Linked DNA regions of Mus musculus. The protein of the gene in region 1 interacts with the protein of each later gene in a pairwise test. Links are inferred from orthologs where the notes say so. Each region holds a gene or a part of one and is shown on either strand. Other genes may lie near its edges.

Region 1 (7,440 bases):
GATCTGGCTGTAACTGAACCTCATGGGAAGCTTAAGTCAGGTGATCTGGGGTTCGGGGTCCACAGCAGGGCTTCTGAGGGGGCTCCAGGGCAGCCTGAGTAACTTCACTTAGATTCTACACAAAGAAAAAAGGAGGGAGGGAGGCAGGGAGGCAGGGAAGGAAAGAAGGGAAAATAAAAGGTGGGATTTTTAGTTGGATAACTTGCCTAACATGCTCAAGGCCCGGGTTCCATGCCCAGCACAAACAAAGCCACTAGGAAGCCTGTGCCATGTGCTAGCCTTTCTAAGATTTTGGTTGCTTCACAGAAATAACTAAATTCACGAGAATTAAAACAGCCCAGACTCTCCAGTCAGGAGGCTCAGGCGACTCAGTGCCAGGTCTTCCCCAACCCCGAGTCAGGGATGAAAGATTCGCTGGCTCAGCCACGGCTTCCACGTGAGCTAGAATCACTCTTTTCTGAGGCTCGCCGAGTTTCTACACCAGTGAGCCACTAAGACCAGTGAGTCTCTAGGCTAGCTCTTCTCAAAGTACGGACCAATCTTTGAAGTGGTGGTCGTAAAAGACCGTGATCTTGCCGCTGCGGGCTTTGTACCTTCCAGAAAATGGGTGATGCCAAGGGCGCCGTAATGGCGGGAACTGGAAGTGTACAGACCGGCAGTCGAAGTTGCCAGCCAGCGCCAGCCAAGTTGTCTGACCCCAGGGCCGAAGGCGGTCTGCTGGAAACCCGGGCTTTACCCCCCCCCCCCCCCCATAGAGTCACTGCAGTGCATTCTCCAGAGGGAAGTGGGCAGATGGTGTCCGAGTCCCACAGCGATTTCTGCTGAGGTTCAAAACTACAGCAGCCCGAGTCAGGATGGCCACCGCGGGGACTCAGCTGGGACAGATCCTACAGTTAATGCAGTGGGGTAAGACTTCTTTCTGGCTTTAGGGAGCTCCAGGGAATCTGCACGGTGTAGGGATATAGTTCCACTTTTGTAGTCTTTTAGTTCTGATCTTAGTCATAGTCGCGCTGAACATAGTCGCGCTGCTTCTGACCCTCTGAGATGGCCTGCTTACTATTTAAAGCACTGCCTGTCTTTACCTTTTGAAAACCTTTTGAAAGACACCATAGATATTTCTTTTGAAAAGGAAAAAAAAAGAACCACAGCCTGGCGTAGTGGTGCATGCCCTTAACCCAGCACTCAGGAGGCAGATAGCGTGTGTGTGTGTGTGTGTGTGTGTGTGTGTGCGCGCGCGCGTGTGTATGTGTGTGTATACACACATATATGTATATATATTTAAATGACAGGTTGTATGTAGGCTATTAGATTTTTTTTCATGGAGATTGTGCTTGCTTGTGTGTGTGTGTGTGTGTGCATGTATGTGATTTTTTTTTCTTTTGGGTGGAATTACTCTCCAAAGCTGGGAGCTCCCCTTCTCTCAGAGTGAACCGACTGGAACACATGCTTTGTCACAAAACAAGCAAATTGTGGCTCCTTGTGATATTGGTAGATTCTGGGAATAAAGGCCATCCTGGAGGGGCAAGCCCCCCTAAGTTAGGTCTGAACACACCGTGCTGTGTGCCCTATACTGGGTGAGCAGATGTCTGAGGAAGGCTCTTGCAAATGTTTACTTATATGGCCCCTCTCCTGAGAGAAGTATGCATGCTTCATCAATGTATTTCCAGTGGCTAGGGAATTTTTTTTTAAGTAGTTGTGTTTGGCTTCATAAAGACAATTAAAAGACCATATGAAACAAGAAACACACACACACACACAAACACACACACACACAAACAAACCCAAAAGCCAGTAATTCAAATTAGTTCCGAACTATCATGTTTTGCTTTAGAACATTATTTTTGTTTTTGCTTTTTGTTTTTTGTTTTTCGAGACAGGGTTTCTCTGTGTAGCCCTGGCTGTCCTGGAACTCACTCTGTAGACCAGGCTGGCCTCGAACTCAGAAATCCGCCTGCCACTGCCTCCCAAGTGCTGGGATTAAAGGCATGCGCCACCAACGCCCGGCACTTTAGAACATTATTAAGCATGCATTTTTCAGACCCTAGTGCTTACACAAACAGGACTCAAAAACTCATGGTTTCTGCAATGCCTGTAAGTAACCAACACTGCACTAAGCGCTGAAGAATATTCTGGAAGCAGAACTGCTCTTTTTCTCTACAGAGGAGCGAGATGAAGCAGAAGCAGCTGCTTCGGGGAGGAAAAACACAGTGTTCTCTGGAACTTTCCAATAGTACGGGTTTACTAACAGCTCTGTTCATTGGGAGTTTTAAAACCCTCGACCGTTGAGTAGAAGTCCGCCTTTTTTCAAAAAAAAAAAAAAAAAAAAAAATCTATTTTCCAGTTACAATTTGGCGGGAACAGGAAGTTTGAAAATTCAAGTGCCGAAAACTTCAAATAACTCGTATGACATACATGTAATAAGTATTTCATTTTTAATTTACACCGTACACCATTGCCCAACACACAGAAACACGGTAAATTTAGCACACACACACACACAGAAAGTGGAAAAAATGCAAGAGTCCTATTGCAGTTCTCCGGACATTCAGCGAGCTGTTTTGTTACAAGTGTATCCAATGTCCCCAGCACCAGGGACTTATGGGGGCACCGCTCATTCCTGCTTCACTTGCTCTGCAGCTTCGGGAAGTGGTGGCTGCGTTTGGAAGCAGAGCTTGCCCAGCTAGACGACAAGATGCTTCGCGCCCCCAAGTGCTCTAGGTGCCGGAACCATGGCTATCTGGTACCAGTCAAGGGCCATACGGGCAAATGCCGCTGGAAGCAGTGCATCTGTGACAAGTGCTACCTGATCACCGAGCGCCAGAAGATCATGGCTGCCCAGAAGGTTCTCAGAACCCAAGCTGCCGAGGAGCAGGTGGCGACCGTGGGCACGCAGGGTCCCCAGCTGCCTCCTAGGGCTCCAGCAGCGGCGGCCACCGCCTTGAGCTCCAGCATTTGCCCACTGCCTAGGGCGGTTCCGGGAGGCGTTGGGCCAGGCCCCACGGCCACTTGCTTCCTCGAGAGGCCCCCGCAGGCCCCGAGCCCAGGCCCGAGCACCTTCCAGCTGGGCCCAAGTGGCCGCCCGGGCCCCAGCACCTTCCAGCCTGGACCAGGGGCCCCCGGGGGACTGCGCGACCGTTCCTCCGCGTGGCTGCCCCAGCTCATGCCACAGGCGCCCAGGCCGGAGCTTTGCTACCCGGATCAGCACCTGCCAGTGCGGCCCGTGCCAGTGCCAGGGCCAGTGCGGCCCGTGCCCCGACTGCCGTTCGCCGACTACGGTAAGCCCAGCCTCGTGCAGCCGACGGTTCCTCCGGCCTGTACCAGGCCAGCAGCCTCCGGCTCTAAGCTGGAGTCCCAGACTGGTGCCGGGGTGGGAAAGGCGCCTTCCCCAGGTAACCCCGCTTGAGAACCTGTTCCCAGACAAGGATTTGGGTGGGTGGCTTCTGATGATAGCAATGGGAAAAAGCTGGTAGGGAAGAATGTGCAGTGCAGGGGGGCTTTGTTGAGATGCAGTTTTCTGCCTCTGTACTTTTGCAAGAGGAAAAAAAAGATGGCAGCTGGGCAGCTTTGGCAGTGGCGCCTTTCCGTGGCCCCTCTAGCGCGTTTGCACGGCATCCCTTCCCCCCTCCCAGGTCTAGATCTCTTGTGCCTGCGTGGCAACCCCTCCCCCTCCCCGCCTGCCATTTTTCTCCTGCTGGAGAGTCTTTTTCTGAGTGGCTGTTCACCTTAAACTGCGCCTGCGCACCCTCCTTTCACTGAGCCGAGGCTAATTTATCCTAACTGCAGTGTCTAGCCTAACGCACCTGTACTCACACTCACTTGTTCCATTTCACCTGATGTGGTGGGGAATAAAACTTTCTGCTAGTTGGCCAGGGGGATGGGCTGGTTCACTAAGATTTTTTTTCCCCCTCGCTTTGTGCATTAATTACATTGTTTCTTTATGCTGTAGGTTGCTTTCCTGGTTGAAGTAGATTTCTTGAGTTTTTTTAAAATTATATTTATATCTTATAATTTATTTATTATAATGCATTGGTGTTTTGCCGGCATGCATGTCTGTGTGAGGGTGTCTTATCCTCTGGAACTAGAATTACAGGCAGGTGTGAGCTGCCACATGGGTGCTAGGAATTGAGCCTGGGACCTCTGGAAGAGCAGCCGGTGCTCTTAACCTCTTAACCGCTGAGCCACCTCTCTAGCCCCTGAAGTATGTTTTCAAGTAATGTAAAATTTGAGGCTCTTGGAATGCGGCTCTTTGGGATGAAGACTTGGGTTTTTGGGGGGGGTAGAGGGGGTTACTTTCCTTAGGGCTATGTAGAAAGAGTCTGAGTCGAGGGGATGCCCATGTGTAGCCTTGGACAAGTTCCTTCCTTGAAGAGCAGACTTTCAGAAATTAATGCTAACCATTCTTTTCTCTTTTTTTTCTTTCTTTTCTTTTTCTTTTTCTTTTTCTTTTTCTTTCTTTCTTTCTTTCTTTTTTTTTTTTTTTTTTTGGACAGGTCTCTGTATAGCCCTGGCTGTCCTGGAACTCACTTTGTAGACCAGGCTGACCTCGAACTCAGAAATCCACCTGCCTCTGCCTCCCAAGTGCTGGGATTAAAGGCATGCGCCACCACACTCCGCTCCAATGCTAATCATTCTTAATGTTTCTGAGATTTTGTAAGAAATCTTTCTCCCCAAGGAACTATCTGTCTGATGAGGAAGGCAGACTTAAATAAACCAGCAGTCCTATGAGGGCATATGTGTGTTCATCTCTCAACAAACAGGAACTTTAAAATGTGTTATAAAGAGGGGGGGAGAAGAGGCCACTTGTGGCTAATCCCAGCATGTGTGGAGGAGAGGTCAGAGGGCAACTTTGGGAAACCGGTTCTTTCCTTCTACCTCATGGGTCCCTGGGATGGAGCAGTGGCTGTCAGGCTTGGTGGCAGGTGCCTTTAGCCATCTTGCTGGCTCTGATGGTGCTACTCTCGATTGTCAGATGGATTGGTGAGAAACCTGGATGAGGAAAGCAGGAATTTGTCTGGATGCATCTTGGGAGGCGTTTCCAGAGAGTTTACTAAGTAGGAGAGGTGGGCCCTGCATGTGGGCAAAACAGCATGGCTGAGTGTTCAGGGACAGTGGGGTTAAAAATGAAGAGGAGAGATGGTGTCTGTGACTGCAGAGGAAGTGCCTGGGCTGTGCTGTTCACACCAGCACTGCCAGGAACAGAAACTGAAGCAGAGTCCAGTGGTGGGTGAGAACCACCACACGGTGGCTTAGACGTCCTGTCCTGTCCCCTCCTGATGCACCAACCCCGGGGAACAGCTTGACTGCAGCCAAAGCCAAGGGCTCCCATTGTCTCTGCCCAACACAGCGCTGAACCAAGGGGGGGACTGGGAATCTCACCGGTGTGCTAGAGTGTTGCTGCTAGTGTTGCATGGCCGTTACTGTTAGACTCTGAAGTGGTTAAAGGGTCGTAGAGTGAGTGTTAAATGCTCAGCCCAAATGGAATCTCCATCATCACCTCCACCAGGTCCCAGGGGACAGCATGAAGGGGAGAGGGAAAGAATACAAGAGCCAGGAGAAGGGGTGGAGTGTGGCAAGCATAGCTTGTCCATTCTACTCACTAGCTCACTGGCAGCCTACTGCCTGCACGGGGTTAGGGTCATGAGGATCTGTAGGCAATTAGTAGTTATTAATTATTCAGTGGTGTGGCCACCCATGTTCCTGAAAGTAGCCTTAGCTAATCTTACTGGTTCACATACATACCCAAAGAGATGTTAAGGCAGAAAGAGGACAAATGGCAGAAAGGATCAGTGACAAGGAGAGGGGATGAGAGGGCTCGTGTTGTGGATGTGACCAGAATACATTATCTGTGTATGTATAAGAGTATAAAGAAGCCCAGTGGGATGTCTGACTAGAGACTGCTTTAGTCGGTTGTGTCAATCTCTCTGTTGCCCGGGAGACAGCAATGCATTCACCCCTCAGGTTTGTGTTCTTAACACTTCCCCTCTCTGTTTATCTTCTTAGGGCATCCTCTGAGATTCAAGTCTGATCATGTGGTAGGAGCTGGGAATCCTGAGAGAGAGCCGTTCAAGCAGTGCCCTGCCTGCGTCCCTGTTTCACCCTACCAGTCCTTTCCACTTTCGGAAGGCCAGGATTCATCCTCTGCTCTGGGGGTCCCTCAACAAAGAGGCTTCCGGCATGTCTCCTGCAGCCCCTACCATAGAAGCGGCTTGGTAAGTTGGAGCCTGACTCCTGTCTAAGCCTGTTCTTACCCCAGCCGCTCTTATCACTTTCCCTGGCCCTCAGTCCCAGAGAGCTGGTTGTCATAAGGGGGAATGGGCCCGGGGTGTGGTGTCTGCTCTTCAGACTTGGAGCCCAGGGGCGACTGTAGTCTTAACCCGTGCAATGCAGCTGCCAGAGACGCCTTCCTGCTGCCGAGCCCCAATGCCACAGGACTGTGAATGAGGCCTGGGATGCAGCACACTTGGCTGATTGGTATGGAGTCAGAGATGCCCTGCCTCAAGCCCAGGCATGCTCTGCTATCTCAAGTGTGTCCCCGAGGTACAGCAAACCTAGCTCTTGACTTCCATGCCAGCCTGAAAGATGTGGCTGTTCCCGTCGGCCGCTACCACAGTCCAGGAGAGCAGGTGCCACTGGCCCCCAGACAAAGAGAGGCTGTGACCAAGGGCAGCCTGCAGCACACCGTCTGTTTACCCAGAAGTCTGGACTTGACATGCACGGCAGGGTTCTGAATGACAGGTCTACCAGACACCTTTGTGAAAGGTGCGACTCAGGCCCATGTTTGGGACTGAGCTGCCATACTGGCCCAGGCAGGAGCTTTGTTCTAAGGAGAGACTTGTCTGGGAGCTTGGAATTCCAATGCTGACAATTTCCCCTTCCATGCTCATCACGTCTGGATCCAACCTAAGAGCAGGAGTCTATTTTCACTCATGTGGCCCTGCCTTGGCCACATGCTCCAGACACCCAGAGACACCCCGCCTTTATCCTTGCCTACTTAATGCTATTCTGTGTGCTTTCTCTAGTCCCATTTGCCCAGGAGAGGGGGACAAAGCCCAGAGAGCAATCCTCCTTCCTCCCAGCCCTGCACCCTTGGGAGTTCTGCTCGCCCAGATCCCTTAGGGAAAGCCCCCAGGCTCAGCTAAGATATGCTCACTCACTCACAAGATATGCTCGCTCACTCGCTCGCTCACATTGCTGTTTGCCTGCATTCTTGTGGAGGTGTCTGCTAGATACCCTGTCCCAAGTGCCCTGCACATGGGTGTGTGTGTGTGTTGTATCTACCCCCACATGGACCCCCCATTTGAGAAATAAAAAGATGTGATTGATCGGCCTGCCTGGCTCACTGTCTCCCTCTCTGCCCCTCGTTCTTTGTGTCCATGCAGGTGTCAGAGCCAGCCAGAGACCTGCAGCCAACCTACTGCTCACCGCCGCCGCCACCACCGC
Region 2 (7,475 bases), on another chromosome or scaffold:
AGCAGCTGAAAAAGGTGCTTCTTTACCCTGCTTTATCAAGGGTCTCAGCAGCGCAGGGTTATACTTGTCAGATTTTGTCACAGGACTCTGCTTCCCTTTTGGATACTAAAAATCACTTGATCTGATGGAACACTTGTTAGACACCAGCTTCAGGACAGAGATGGGGCCATGATTAACAGAGATACACAATGTTCAAACCACCTAAAAAGCCAAATGCTGATCTGAGACAGCTCTGAAGGTCCCTATCATCAAACACACCCACTCTCACGCAAATGAGAATTTTTATTTTACCGTTCTCATACTCATCTCAGAAAAGGCAATGATAGCAAATATACTAGGAAATGTGACGCTCTAAGCCCTATTTCTACTATAAACTTAATTGTGCTATTGTTTAACAGTACAACCTTAACTATAAAACATGATGAAGCTTACCACCTCCAACTCTAGAGCAGTGTGGTGTAAATGCAGAATAAACTCGCAAACGATTGTTTCCATTAGACCCACACAGAGCTGTGCTATCTCCTGAGGAGCATAGTGGAGAGAACTGGTGAAAAATAGCAGCTTATTACAAAAGCAATGGATTGCAAAAGCAATGTCCTAGTTCCTAAACAAATTAACTACCCCATCTTACATAAAATATGCTTGACACAATAACTACTATCAATAATGACTTGCTTTTTAGACAAAAGAAAATCTAAAAATTTACCAAACTATATCACCTATGTCCTTTCAGTATCTACGGCCATGCAAAGTTTTAAGCCATAGTGTTTATGGACAAACAAGACTTTTCAAAAAGAAAAGAATTAAAATTCAAGAAAAGCAGAGGTATGACATCTGCAACACTGAACACATTCTCAAAGATAAACAGCAAAGCCGATTTTAATTGAAAATTAAGATCAGTTAGGGAGCAGGAAATTTTATGAAAAAGGGTTATCTAAAACTAAAAGCATTTTTAAATCATTCATGCAAAATCTAACATATTTGTTTACTTTTCCTAAATTATACTCTAGTTTTTCTGACAAGCTTCTGTAAAAATATTCAGACTGCCCCCTTTCATCAAACCACACCCTTCTCATTTTCATAAAAGCAGCCTCTCTCTCATAATCATGGAATTAAAACTGGAAATTCGATGCTCATGTATCACATTCTTGCTTTTCTCTACTTGTTATTTGTGTTATTTACTGCTGCACGTCTTCATATTAAATTACAAAATGTTTATTTTTTAAAAATGTTTTGCATTTAACTCGTTTTCATTACAAAGAAAAGTCTTTAAGATAATTTGTGTGTAACTTTATCCCAGGGATAAAGTTAAAATCTTAAGAGAAAGCAGTTTAAGACCCACATTTTATTTGTAATCTTCTGCTCACCTCTAATTAAATGATCCTTTAAGTCTTAGAAGTATTAACTCAAGTTATAGCTTTTATTTAAGAATTGCCCTGGCCTAAAATATATTGTTAGCTTTAAAACAAAACTATCCTGCTAAAGATGCTAGGAAAGAAAGACTGACACAACTCACCAAGCAGAACTAACAGCCAACACAAGGACTGAGTTACTACTACCTAAGTTAAAACTATGGACTACTTTCTTTAAGCCAGCAAGAATTAATATACGATTTCTCTTCTATCATTCAAGTTTTAACAAGTAGAAAACTAACATATTTCATTCCCAAATTTGTTAAATCAAATGAAAATTCTCAAACAGAAACTATATTAAAAGTTCACTGCTGGAAAAGAATTTTTAAAATAAAACTGCTAAATAGTCCCATTCAAAGTTTCTAATTATCAGAGAGTAGAGTATCTTACTATCACTGAACAGTTTAATCCCTAAAGTGAAACTTAGTTTTATCTGAATTTAAAAGTAATTTTTCTGCCAAGTATTACAGTCAAAGGAAAATGTAATCCCTAACCATAAACAGAAGTCATAATTAATTTGTTTTAGACAATGAGAGGGCACAAGGGGTTAAGGACAAGTTGCCAATTTTCACAATTAAGTCATCTACCAAGAAAATTATGATGGTGCACTTAAAAAGCCAGAATTTTCAAGTCAAATTAAATTTACAGTAAGACTAACAAGTACAGTTAAAAGCTTATAGCACACTAAGGACCAGCCCATTTCCTGCAAGTGATGAAAACAATCACAATCCCCAGTCAATCTCCTGTCTCCTATTAAATCCGAGCTATCTTTACTCTAGCCTAATGCTCAGACACCCAAGAACAAACAGACTAAGGTGAAGATGGAGAAAACATGACAAGGAGACACCAAACATTACTTTGAATATTGTAATCCTGAACTAGCTGTCTTCTACATTTGAAACCCAAAGGGTCACTATTTCTAACCAAGAGAAATAAGCCTGTGCAAAGATTGAAATTCCTCTAGTTGAAAGACTTATGCCAACCTCAAAATAAGGCAGTTATTTCTGATCAAGCTGAAAGAGAACACTTGAACAGCCTTTACAATTAATCTAAGAAACGCCTACTAGTTTTCCTTATAACATATCCAAACTTTTTATAAGTCCACTAAGTCACTTAGGTATACGAAGCATTTTAAGAATGCTTTTTAGTTCATTGTATATGCTGTCTAGTTTGTTGTGTAAGAAATTCCCTCTTGATTGAACTTTTAAAAACTAAATTTTTCCTCATAAATATGCTACTAATATCATAAAAACCAATGCCAAGGAAGAAATATCAATGTATGAGGTGTTTCCGCCCTAATCACATTTGTGAATAGTGACAAATGAAGTCATCTAAAAATTTAAGTTTCAACTGCACCTAATATAGGTCAGATTATTAAGCATACTATTTTGTTCCAAACATTTCCAAGGTTAAAAAAAAATAACTGGCGCCCCTTAGCGCTCACTTTTGGAAATACTCAATTTAAGAGCTCCAGCTTTCTTTTTTTTTTTTTGGACATTCCAGAAAGTTTTCTGCCTCCACAATTTTTCAAATGCCAACACAAATAGGAAAGGCAAAAACCCTTAAAGGGGCAGTTCAAGTTTTTTCTCCAGGGCAATTTAACACTAACAAATATACCAACCCAACAATAAAAAATGCCTCTTTCGATGTGTTGCTGTTGCATGTTCATGTGTAATAGCTGAATGTTTTCTGTTTTAAATACTGCCCAAAGCTCCCCATCCAACGGAAGCTCTGAGGATGACTCTTTAATCATCTTTTAGCTCGGGAGTCTTTTGTTCTTCCCTGACATGCCAGCAGATATCCCCAGCTATCTCTAAAATTTTTCGACATTCTTCTCAAGATCCTAAAATCCATGTTCATCTGTACAACATAGTTTTCCGCTTCCTTTAAACAGTCCACTCAGAGACTTTAAAAGAGAAGACAGAAACTACTCGCTACTCGATTTAAAACAGACTTGTTGGTCCTATCCCACCCCCCAACCCCGCCCCGGGCGTCCACAGAAACCTACAGCTACTGGGAACTAACACTCCAGGTCGCTGCTATGAGTAGTTCCTAAAGGAATTCCAGAGCTGACCAGCATTAATCTCCAGTCAGTCTTCGCTCCCCACAGCGCTCCTAACTCGGCTTGTGCAAACTTCTGCTCTATTTTATCCCCGTCCTTTCAAACTTCCAGCTCCCCGCCCTGCAAACGCAGGCGGCTACGCCGGGAGCGAACCCTCCGCCCCAGTTCTTCCAAACTCGGATTCCGTTCAGGTCTGTCCTCGCGGTATTTCGTACTCCTCCCCCACCACCACCACCACAGACTAAAGAAAAAAAAAAAAGTGAAGTTAAACTCCCAAACAGTTCTCGCTTCCCCAAACAAAAGGACAAAAAGTGTTCTACTCTGTCATTTCGTCCTCGCCTTCGGCCACATAAGCACTACTTTTCTTCGGTACCCTACGTGATTCCTGGACATCTCGGGGTCCGATCGGGTACTGCGGGCCACGCAACTCTACCGAAAAGAGCCCGCTAAGCCGGGGCTCCGCGGGCCAGGCGAGGCGGAGCTCGGGGAATCGCGTGGCCCCGCCGGGCCGGCCGAGATGGCCGGGATGGCGGGGAGCCTAGCCGCCGCGCCGTCGGGAGCCGGCCGCAGCCCCGCAGCCCCGCGCGCTCCCGGGTCCGCCCTCGGGCCTGGCCCGGCCCCGGCCGGGCCGCGAGCCGCCCGCGCCGCCTTTGTGCGCCCGCCCGCCCGCCCGCCTGACCTTCCCGCCGCCCCGCCATCCCGGGCCGCCGCGCCGGGGCCGGGCGCCTCACCTTCGTCCAGCAGCCGCTCGAGGTGGTTGAAGATCCCGCAGAAGTTGGGCAGGCTGCTCATGAGCTTCTTGTCGTTCATCAGCTGCATCAAATAATCTGGGGTGGGCTTCGGCTTCTCCTTCGTTTCCATTTCCCCGACCATATTCCAGGCTCCGCAGCTCACTCCGCCCGCCGCCGCCGCCGCCGGAGGAGAGGAGGGAGGGGCGGGGGCGAGCTCCGGCCGCCGGCCGCTCGGGACGCGGCGTCCCGCTCCGCGCCGGCTCCCGCTCCGGCTCCCGCGCCGAGCCCCGGGGCGGCCGGCTCCGCGCGCCCGCCCGCCCCCCGCAGGCACTTTCGCCCGGCCCGACGCGCCGCGGCCGCCGCTCCTCGGCCGCCCGGCGCGGCTCCCCTCGCGAGGCCGGCGGCAGAGGCGGGTCTCGGGCCGAGCGCGGCGCGGGGCCGCTGCGCCGCGAGGAGCCGGGGGGCCGCTCGTCGGCCGGTCGCGCCGCCTGCGCCGGAGCTCGCGAGTCTGCGGTGCTGTCCGCCGCGGCGCTCCGCGTTACCGCCGCCGCCGCCGCCGCCGCGCTCCGACTGCGCTCCTCCTCTTCCTCCGCGGCTCTCCTCCTCCTCACTCACTTGGCGGCGGAGTTCGCCTCAGTTCAGGCGGCGCCGCCGCCCCTGGCCGCTCGGGCGGGACGGCCGGCGCAGGGCCGGGCCGCGGCGGGGAGGACGCGCGCCGGTGGCCGCCCGCGCGGGGCCGGGGTCGCGGCTGAGGGGGACGCGGGCGGCGGCGCTGGCTCGTCGGCGCGCTGTTGCTGAGGCGGCGGGCGCGGTCGGGTGCGGCGGCTGAGAGGAATCCCGGCGGGACTCTCCGCGACGCGCTGCGCTCGCCGCCGCCCGGGCCTCGCGTCCGCGCGCGTTACTATAGTTTGGGTTTTTTTTTTTTTTCTTAAACCTCTTCGTCCACCTTCCTCGCTACCCCCTCAAAAAAAAAAAAATTTTTTTTTTTTAAACGTCCTGTTGCTTCACTGGGGACTCTCGGGTGGGCGTCACGTGTCCAGACACGTAGCCGAGAGGCTGAGAGCGCGTGCGCGCGTCGAGGACTGTGACCACGCCCCTTCCGAGGGTCGCTCCGCCCCACCTGGCGGAGAGCGCGCCGTGGGGGCGGGGGGTGGGGGGGAAGCGGGCCTGGAGCGCGCCTGCGTGGGGGTGGAGCGGGACGAAGATGGCCTGCGGACGGAGGAGCGGGACCGAACCGTTCTGGCGCGGCGCCCACCTCGCGGGGCGGGAAACCCGGCCGTCGGATCGCTTGGGGTGCGAGGTGGCGGCGGACTGAGTTGGCGTGGGCGCCCACACCGCAAGTGTCTCCGGCGGTAGGGACTCCAGTGAGGTTTCCCCTGGAGCCAGCGCCACGCGTGACGGGCCTCGCGTTGCCGTGGGCTGCGAGGCGGCCCCGGACCGTGGGCGGAGACGGCACACGCGTGCGCACCCACGGGCGTGCGGGCGGGCTCTGTTCCATGCGGCGTGACGCGCGGTTCCGTTAATCCTCACCGCAGGTTCCAGTCCCTGGTGGCGGAGGCGCTGGCTCCTCAGCGGTGCGGCCCCCGCACAAGGGAGCCTGTGTGAGGAGTACATATTCGGGGAAAAAACGAAGTGGCCAACGCCTATTTTTACCTACTTGACAAAAATAAATAAATAAATGACAGGCAGAGGGCCAGGACAGGGGCTTTCTATGGCGTGTAGAGGAAGTTCTGCCGGTTACATTTGTTTCGGAAACAATGTTCCGAATTGCAGCAATGAAGTCCTGCGATTTATAGAAGCTGTCGGTCATTAAATCTGCATCATCCCTGTTTTGTTGCAAGTTCTCTATAACATGCTCCATTAAAATGTAGACAAGATTGTCAAATTAACCATTTTGAGAGTTGGCCCTGGCTATAATTTTCTGGGAATCATCTCACTGTATTTTAAATGTGTACGTAAGCAGGCTAGTTGGATTGCTTTTTTTGTTGTTGTTGTTTTAAACTTTGATTTACGCGATTTCTAAAGAGCATTTTCGAAGTTTGTGTGGTACCAACGGTATTTAAAGCAATTTTACTCTTTTCCTGGCCAGTAGCTTCTGATTATTTTATTTAAAGACTACAGTTTGGGTTGGTTTGGGTTTTGGTTTTCTAGTTGTCCATTAAACTACGTTTTTTAGAGCAAATGATGAACAAAGTTAACATGTAATTGAAATAATTTTAATTTTCCAACAATGGCTATAGTAGTTCTTAGTACTATAGATAATCCCTTAATTATCTCTAAACAATAAATTAGTGAAAGCATGGAATAATTTGATCAAAAAGCTGTTACTACATTTTCTAAATCTTTCTTCAGAATCTAGAAAAAAACGAGGTTTCTTTCTTGTATATTATTAAAAAATATTTTGTCACTGAATTATTATACATTGTCTGTGTTTGTGCAAGAGAAGTCCCCTTTGTAAGTTGGTCACACTTATAGGCCCTTTGGTAACTGCTCTCCCTCTATAGCTCAATCAGAGCAGTCCTGTACCTTAGGCAATCCTGGCAGCCCCAAGTTTTACATAAGAGGAAACCCCTGAAGAGGAAGAGGGAAACTGAATAATTTTATCCAGCACTATAGCCAATGAGCCCTATCTGCTGTTCAAATCCATGTATATTTTATACCAGAGTGCCCCCATCCCCATTTTACTGACCCTATCCAGTAAATCCTTTGAATTCATTACAGTGTTACATAATTTTTGACCCATATGTCCAACCACTTTTATAATGTAGTTGAATGAAAATAATAGGCAATATTCATTCACCATGGCTCAATCCCTGGTGGACCCATCACTTGGAAATAGTAGCCATTTAGTGCATTTTCTCTTCCCCTGCTTAGTTTTGCCTGATTTCTCAGGTTAAGAAAAAAAATATCCAGAGTTTCCCAAGACCTATTAGGCCCCAAGAGATGTTGCTGCCCAAGCTCACTAGATGGACTCCTCATGTGTCTTGACCTCTACACATGCTTGGCATCTGTAGGGCTCTGGGCTTGGTGTACCCTTGTAAAGTTTTCCCTAGTTGCCCAAAAGCCCCACTCCAGCTCCCATATGCCACCTCTATTTTTTGTTAAATGTTTAGTTGTTTCTGTCACATTTCTCACATGCCATGTCAGATCTGTGCGTCAGTTTGTTTGCCATCAGAGACTCTCACGCTTTGAGAGTTCCTAACCCCAACAACAGCACATGTGTAGGCTCTCATGACTTTGGTGTTCAAAGAGGAGTGTCATTAGCTAGTT
Region 3 (7,290 bases), on another chromosome or scaffold:
TAATCACCAAGGCAGGTGTGGTAAGGTAGAACCAGGTAAGAGCTCACCTCTGACCCACAAGCTGCAGGCAGAGAAGAGGGTGGGAGAGGAGGAGATAGTGGGGAGGAAGAGGAGAGAGAGAGGGGTGGGAGAAAAGGAGGGGGGAGAGAAACTGGGTCAGGTGTGGGCTTTTGAAATCTCAAAGCCTATCTCCCAGTGACACACCTCCTTCGACAAGGCTCTATCTCCTATTCCTTCCACTTAACTATAGACCAAACACCAGATATATGAGTCTGTGAGGGCCTTTTTGTTTTAAATCACCAGAACAAGTGATTAAAATAAAATCTGTGGAAAAAATGTGCAGAGAAACAGTGAATATGTATGTGTGTGTGTGTGTGTGTGTGTGTATGTGTGTGTGTGTGCGCGCACGCATGTGTGCTCATACATGAGTGATTGTGAAAGAATACCATTTAAGTAAGATGGGGATCTATGATAAAGACGTGAAGAAAGTCAGAGACTCAAGAATGGACTTCTAAGGGCTGTTGAACACTTATGTACAATTCTTTGTTTAGTGATCATGGCAACACTATGTGTAGGTACATTTATTATTCCCATTTACAGACAGGATGTTGACATGTAAAAATATGCAGAGCACTGCTTATGACCCACCACTTGGTGTTCCCAAGGCCTGCTGTTCTCATAGCTTCTACTTCCAGAGCATTCCTCATGACCTTTGACCATGTGGCCTGTAGAGAAAGGATGACTAGTCCCTATTTCCTTTTCACTTCCTTGATCCTCAGGTAAAACAGGACGCTACATAGCTCTACATTAATTGTATGGTTAGGAACCTGGGGAGGATAGAGGCTATGTTATTTAGCCATACCAAAGGATAAGCTAAATTAGATGTATATCCTCCTTCACTTGTAAGCTAATTTCTAATTGCCATTCTTTTATCAAACCATCCAACTACCAACTACAAGATATCCTCATTTATTGGAGCCTGCATAATAAGATAATCAATTACAACAGAACTTTTAAAAAGTGATTTGACAAGAAACAGGAAAGTGAAGTTACACTTCCTAAGATAAATAAGAGAAATTTCCTGTTTGTCTCTTGCTGAAGAAAGCAGAATGGGACCTTACCAATCATAGTTCTCCAGGTACAGAAGCCAGAGTGAGTCCTGGCCCTGCAGAAGCAGGCGCTGCAGTTATCTTTTAAAGCAACAGACCTGGGACTTTCAGAAGGAGCTAGGAGATAGATGAAGGGAAACAGGTTGCTTACAAGGGGCTGGTGACAGGATTTGTTGCTGTAATTTAACCGTCATAACATTCTTGTTTTCGGTAAGCTCTCAGCATCACATCTGTACATTATTTACACCTGACTTGGCAAGCCAAGCTTTTGGGCACAATTTACCTAAAGACTGGCCCAGTTGCTTTTGCTGACCTCATAGCTCCCACCTCCAGAGCTTTCCTTATGACCTTTGACTATGTGGCCTGTGGAGAAAGAGTGACTCGTCCCTGATTTCCTCGATGCTCGAAGGCAAAACAGGAAGCCACATTAACTGTTTAGTTAGGAACCGGGGAAGAAGAGAAGTTGTGTTCCCTAGCTGTTCCAACAAAGGTACAAACCCTAGCAACCAAAGGAAAAGACCCCACTTGATAACAAACATAGATGTTTTTCTTTTCTTCTCCCAAGTCTAAATACCAGTATGTGGAGAGTAGCATCGGTTGTCAACTTTAAGTTCAAGGACCCTTCTGTTGAGCTTAGCTCTTGTTCTTAGCCCAATTGCATGTGAAGCATAGTTAATAGCATGATAAACTCAAGTTCGGGAGATTTAAGTGAGAAACCTCGTTCATGAGTTCCCCTGCAAAGAGCTTGTCATAAAGAGGGCTTAGTCAACGTTAGAAGAGCTATTAAAACTGAGTATTAAAAGTCATCTTTTCTCTGGGCCTCTTATTGGAGTTTCTCTGTGTGGGCATGTTCCTTAAGAAGGAAGTGGGTGGACAAGAGCGCACTGGGTACAATTTGTGTATTTGCAAGAGCAAGCAGAGGCTTTCACTGAGGGAGAACATATGTTTCTGGGGCTCCATCTGTACAAAAAGCTCGGCGTCCTGAAGTACTACGGATAAAAAAAAAAACCTTTAAAATACGTCTATTTCATACATGTTTCATTATCTGTGAACGTTTGGAACAGTGTAACTGACCCTAACTAACTAGATGTGCTACTCACAGCAGAAGTTCCCAGCTGCACCTGTCCTAAGGGCAGCTCCTCCCACAATCCTTCGCGAGCCGAGAATACGTGGGGGCCTCAGAGGACGTGCTCGCCCCGGGCGGAGTGCGCCTGCTTTGCAGGAGCCACGCCCCTGTCCCCTAAGGGCCTGGGTCCTACGGGGCGGGGCGGGGCGGGGCGGGGCGGGGCGGGGCGGGGTTTGCTGCCGGTCCCCACGCCTCTGCGGCTTTGCGGGCAGGTCCTGGCAGTCCCTCCTGGTCACTCCGCCGACGCGATGGCCGTCCCCGGCTCACTGGCCGAGTGTGGCTACATCCGGACTGTGCTGGGCCAGCAGATCCTGGGTCACCTGGACAGCTCCAGCCTGGCCTTGCCCTCCGAGGCCAGACTGAGGCTGGCCGGCAGCAGCGGCCGCGGCGACCCGGCGGCCCGGAGCCAGCGGATCCAGGAGCAGGTGCAGCAGACCCTGGCCCGCCGGGGCCGGAGCTCTGCGGTCAGCGGTGAGTCGAACCCCACCCGCCGTGCTAGTCGTAGGTCTCCCCGGTGCGAACCGGTGTCCGCCCGCCCACCTGTTGCTCACCTTACCTTTTCCGGCTCGTGGTTGGTCGCTTTGGACACGCTTCCTCCCTAACCTTTGGTTCTGGTCTACCTTATTCGTTTGTTAATTACACAATTGTCTGTATTAAAGAATTCGATCGGTTTCACCCTTCGCCGCTCGCTCCGGGTTCTCTCCCTGAGATTCTAAAAAACACTTTGAAATTTTATGCAGACTTTGGTATGCAAGATTGATCTTCTGGAATAAGGCGCTTTGGGCTTTTATTGAGATGTTTTAGAGTTTACGACTCTCTATAAATATTTTTAGAAAGAAACCTTCAAAGCCCTGCGGTTCCTCCATCCTCTAAATTGAGGTTACCTCGTCCAAGTGCTCCACTCCGTATCTGCGACTAAACAAATTGAGCAAGTCGGCTTTGGGTCTGGGAGCAACCTGAACACCCTGCGGAGGATAAGGAGGAAGGAGACTTTGGCCAGGCTGAAGGTAGCCCCGCCTGCCCACCTCACACCCACACACCAGAACCAACAGATGCGTGGGTGCAGAACCGCCCTCATTAAAAAAAAAAAAATCAACCCCCCACCACACAGACTAGTTGACAGAAGTGTGGTTGATCAGAAAGATCAGAAGCTCTGGTAAATGTGATTACCATTAAGAATAATAATGCTTCCGTGCCAGCATGTGGATTTCAAATAGCAGAGTCTGGGAGGCTGTCCGCTTTTCAGTTTGTCTAAAGGTTAGGGCAGTTGATGTTTGCATACTTGAAAAGTAAAGAGGTGTTTAATGATTGCAAGCTCATGTAAGTGAGTGCCTGTAACGTCCCTAATTAGGCTATGTGGTTCGCACTTTATATTATCTTCTTAAAATGAACTGTGTATTTTTTTCCTTTCTCTTTCCATATGTGTAGATATAGATACGATTTTTAAGATGCAGCCTCAAACTTCCCGTCTCCGTCTCCCATGTGCTGAGATTACAGACATGGGCTGGGTTTACTGTGGATCCAAGCTTAGAGACAAGGAAACTGAGCAAATAAAACAGTCAAGATTCCAGACAGAAAGTGGCATAGGTGGTATATAAAAGCCAAAATGTGGAGTTTTAAGTCGATCATGAGTTAACATATTAAGTGTTTGATTACTAACACAAAATGAAATTACTTGGGAACTAAACTTCCCTGTAACGACTCCTTTTCCTCTAAGTAAAACTAAGGAAGTTCTAAGAGGATGGAAAGGTTTACACAGGAAAGAACTGCTTTAGTTCCTGGTGAGAAGAAAAAGCAAACCTTAGGGTTAGGAATGTGGCAAAGGACTCCAGGATGACTGAGGGCAGTGTCTGGCTAGTCCTGCCATTGCATCCTGCAGTGTGAAAAGCCTCATGCCCAGTGCTAACGTGGAACTGAAGAGCCTTCTTCCTTATCTTGTAAGGGTGGCCAGCCAGAAGAACAAGCAGGCATCAACTAGTAAACAAATGGTGGGAGTGGGGGTGGGGGTGGGGGTCCAGTGTAGGAGGAAGGAACAGGGAGCTTTGCTAAGCACTTTGCTATCATATGGCAGCTGGTCATCTCCAATTTCATGCATTTCCATTCTGTTATGTCCTTAAATGGAATTGGAAAGGTAGATGAGCTAGATACTATAAGGTGATCATTTTAGGGGTGGAGTGGGGGGAGGCATATATCTATCAACAGCTGTAGGATGATGGTCCAAGTCCTAGAAAATTGGTGTCTCCTCTCTACGGAATAATACAGGAGCTGTTTGGTGAATTCAACCACTGCCACTGAACGTGTTCTTCTCCAAGGGGCATCATTCTGGTGCTGAATTAAACACACATTTGGTGTGCTTTGTAACAAGAAGTTTAAACCCAAGGAAATGCAGTCATGAATCAAAAGCCCTAAGTACCCAGAGAACAGCAAGGGTGCCACAGAGCTTTCAAATGCAAAGTTCTCCCAGCCAAAGAGAATTTTGAAAATCTGTTTGGAGGAACTGTGATATTAGCTCACCAGTCCCACCCCCACACTCTGAAACTAGGAGCTTTAAATCTCAGAAGTTTATTAGGCTTGTGCAGGGAGCATAGCTGGAGATGCATGCGTTACTGTAGAAGTGTGCACGGATATTTCATAGTGCCGAGTTGACATGAGAGAACAAAGACTCAGCCTTGGTGCTTCTGTTCCGTTGAGTGGTTTTTTCCAACTAAGGGATAAAGCCCTGAGCTATTTTTGATTACCACAGAGCTCTTTGGCAGGCTGCAGAGAAGTGCAGCTTAGGCGGGGGTAAGGCATCAGACCCCTACTCTGAAGGAGGTCAGCTACAGGGACCGGGCTTCCCTGTACCCTGGAGCAGCAGCAGGAGGTGACTCCCACCTGTTTAACTGAAGTACTTTGGAAGTGTTTGGGACTTAGAGTGGCTGGATTGCTTTATATTTTCCTTATATCCGTGTCCTGTCTGTAGTGTGGAAACACAGCACTGAAACAGTGCTGATCTGGAAAGAGTGACCCTGATGTTACTGCCCTTAGCCCCAGTACCCTGGAGAATTCTGGATTGTTGACATACCAGAAAGGATGAGGCAGCAGACAGTCTGCCGAAAGGTTTGTGGTTAATGCCTTGTAAGGCTTTTTCACCCTCCGTGGCTTTCTTACGGTGTATGGTTTCCCTGGAAATCACTCACTGACTTTTGGTATCATTTTAAACTGGTGAATATTTTAAAGTCAGTTTTATCTCTTAGGTTCAACGGTGTGTGTGTGGCTGCATTATAAAATATGTATATGTTTTACCAAATTTTAAAATCTATAAAAGTCAGAATGAAACATTTAAAAGTGGCAAAGAAAGCTAGCAAAGCTAGCAAAAAATGACTATAGTGTAAAACAGTTTTACTTACTACCTTGTCTTTCTCTCTCTCTCCAGTGCCCAAATAGGAAGAAATTGTAGTATGTAATGCTTATAACGCACAGTGAACTATATTCCAATTCATTTTACAAGGTCTTTGAAGAGCTACCATAAAAACTTTAGCCATGCTTGTTACTTACACGACTTCCTGAAGAAGCAACTATCAGTACTGGAGATTAGAGTGGATTCTGGAGAGAGGACTACACATTTATCCTGGGCTTCAAATGGTGCAGTTAGAAAAGCCAAGTGTAGTGGCTCATGCTCATAATCCCAGCACTGAGGTGGCTGGGGCAGGAGAATGGCTGTGAGTTTAGGACAAGCCTAGTCTATAGCATAAAACCCTGTTCGTAACACAAAGCCAGCTAACAGGTGCTGCTGCAAAGAGAAATTGTTTCATAATTGTCATTTATAGTTGCCAACAATAGACTTGCCCTTTCAGAGAAGTAAAATAAAAGCTTTTAATGATTTTTAACTAGACTAGAAATTCAATTTTAATGTAAAACCAATGCTAAGCTAACAAGATAAAATAGCATAAAGCTTTGCACTGTAAGACTCCTTTGCTAAAGGGTATTACATGGATGAGTCACTCTTGAGTGAGAGGGTTAGTCATTCAGGAGGAAGGAGACAGGAGGGGAGAAGCCAGTGGTGGGACTGTGCCCACACTGCTGTGAGTGTGAGTGTCTTTCAGGCCTCAGCGTACAGTGACTTCTGTGTTATCCCATAGCATATTTTCATTCAGATTTGGTAATGTAATTTTTTTATGGGAGGGTTTTCTGTTTTTACAAATTTCTAATTATACTCTGTCAAAATAGAATACCAACAAAATGAAGGTTAGAAAGAGCAAACTTCTCAAGTGGGAAGAACATATTTTTTGTGAGTAAAGGGCTGAGTGGGAGGGTGGTAAGGATACTGCAGAGTCGGCAGAACTGTGAGAAACCAAAGATCCTGGGTCACAGGATTTGATTAAAACACCGTTCTTTAGAGCAGGAATTGCCTTAAGGAAACGACCTGGCTGCTGTCAGTAGCCCTGTGCTAGTGTGCTGTTGTCATGGGAACAGAAGGCCACTCAAGAACTGATTGTTCTAGCTATTTGTGGCTTGTTGGTGCTTTCTCTTACAGTATTCTTTTGTATATCAACTTTAAAACTTTTTTCTCACGTATTAAAATAAGACTTGTTTTATTTTATCTTTATATTGTTCAACACTGATATTGATATAGAACTTAATAAGAAATGCATGACTCAAACACCAGATTTGATTAATGTGATCTACAATGAGTATTTGGTTCCCACCCAGATGATCTTCAAAATACTCAAATTATTTAATTCTGATATAAATGTAGACCTCTATTTTGTGCATATATCCAAATGTATTTACTCACAAGTCCCATGCTCCACTTTGGGAAGGAAACACTAAGCAAGACTAGATATAGACCATGAATTAAGATATTTTTTAATCTTTGTGCCAAAGTAACCTCTTCCCTTCAGTTCACTAAATTAAGAATAAACAGTTTATAAAGTTTCCTTTATGATAGAACAGCAGATATTTACATTACGATTCATAACAGTAGCAAAATCACAGTTATGAAGTAGCAATGAAATAATCTTATGGTTGGTGGTCCTAACACATGAGGAACACATTAAAGGGCCACAGGATTGG

The links.
Region 2: the proteins of Dmrtb1 (region 1) and Qk interact in a two-hybrid assay, tested with the Homo sapiens proteins (2 studies listed by BioGRID). The link is inferred for Mus musculus from reciprocal best matches to the Homo sapiens genes DMRTB1 and QKI.
Region 3: the proteins of Dmrtb1 (region 1) and Pkp2 interact in a two-hybrid assay, tested with the Homo sapiens proteins (2 studies listed by BioGRID). The link is inferred for Mus musculus from reciprocal best matches to the Homo sapiens genes DMRTB1 and PKP2.

What each region holds. Positions count from the first base shown.
Region 1 is NC_000070.6:107,679,415-107,686,854, reverse strand, and holds the start of Dmrtb1 (doublesex- and mab-3-related transcription factor B1), read left to right. Parts: upstream 1-2,624; 5' UTR 2,625-2,692; coding exon 2,693-3,275; exon of another isoform or gene 3,276-3,389; intron 3,390-5,608; exon of another isoform or gene 5,609-5,747; coding exon of another isoform or gene 5,748-5,847; intron 5,848-6,000; coding exon 6,001-6,209; intron 6,210-7,379; coding exon 7,380-7,440.
Region 2 is NC_000083.6:10,314,527-10,322,001, forward strand, and holds the start of Qk (protein quaking), read right to left. Parts: upstream 4,836-7,475; 5' UTR 4,348-4,835; coding exon 4,206-4,347; intron 1-4,205. Other genes in the region: uncharacterized protein Gm46608, read right to left, coding at 5,193-5,819. UniProt on the Homo sapiens protein: RNA reader protein, which recognizes and binds specific RNAs, thereby regulating RNA metabolic processes, such as pre-mRNA splicing, circular RNA (circRNA) formation, mRNA export, mRNA stability and/or translation.
Region 3 is NC_000082.6:16,210,890-16,218,179, forward strand, and holds the start of Pkp2 (plakophilin-2), read left to right. Parts: upstream 1-2,455; 5' UTR 2,456-2,483; coding exon 2,484-2,706; intron 2,707-7,290. UniProt on the Homo sapiens protein: A component of desmosome cell-cell junctions which are required for positive regulation of cellular adhesion.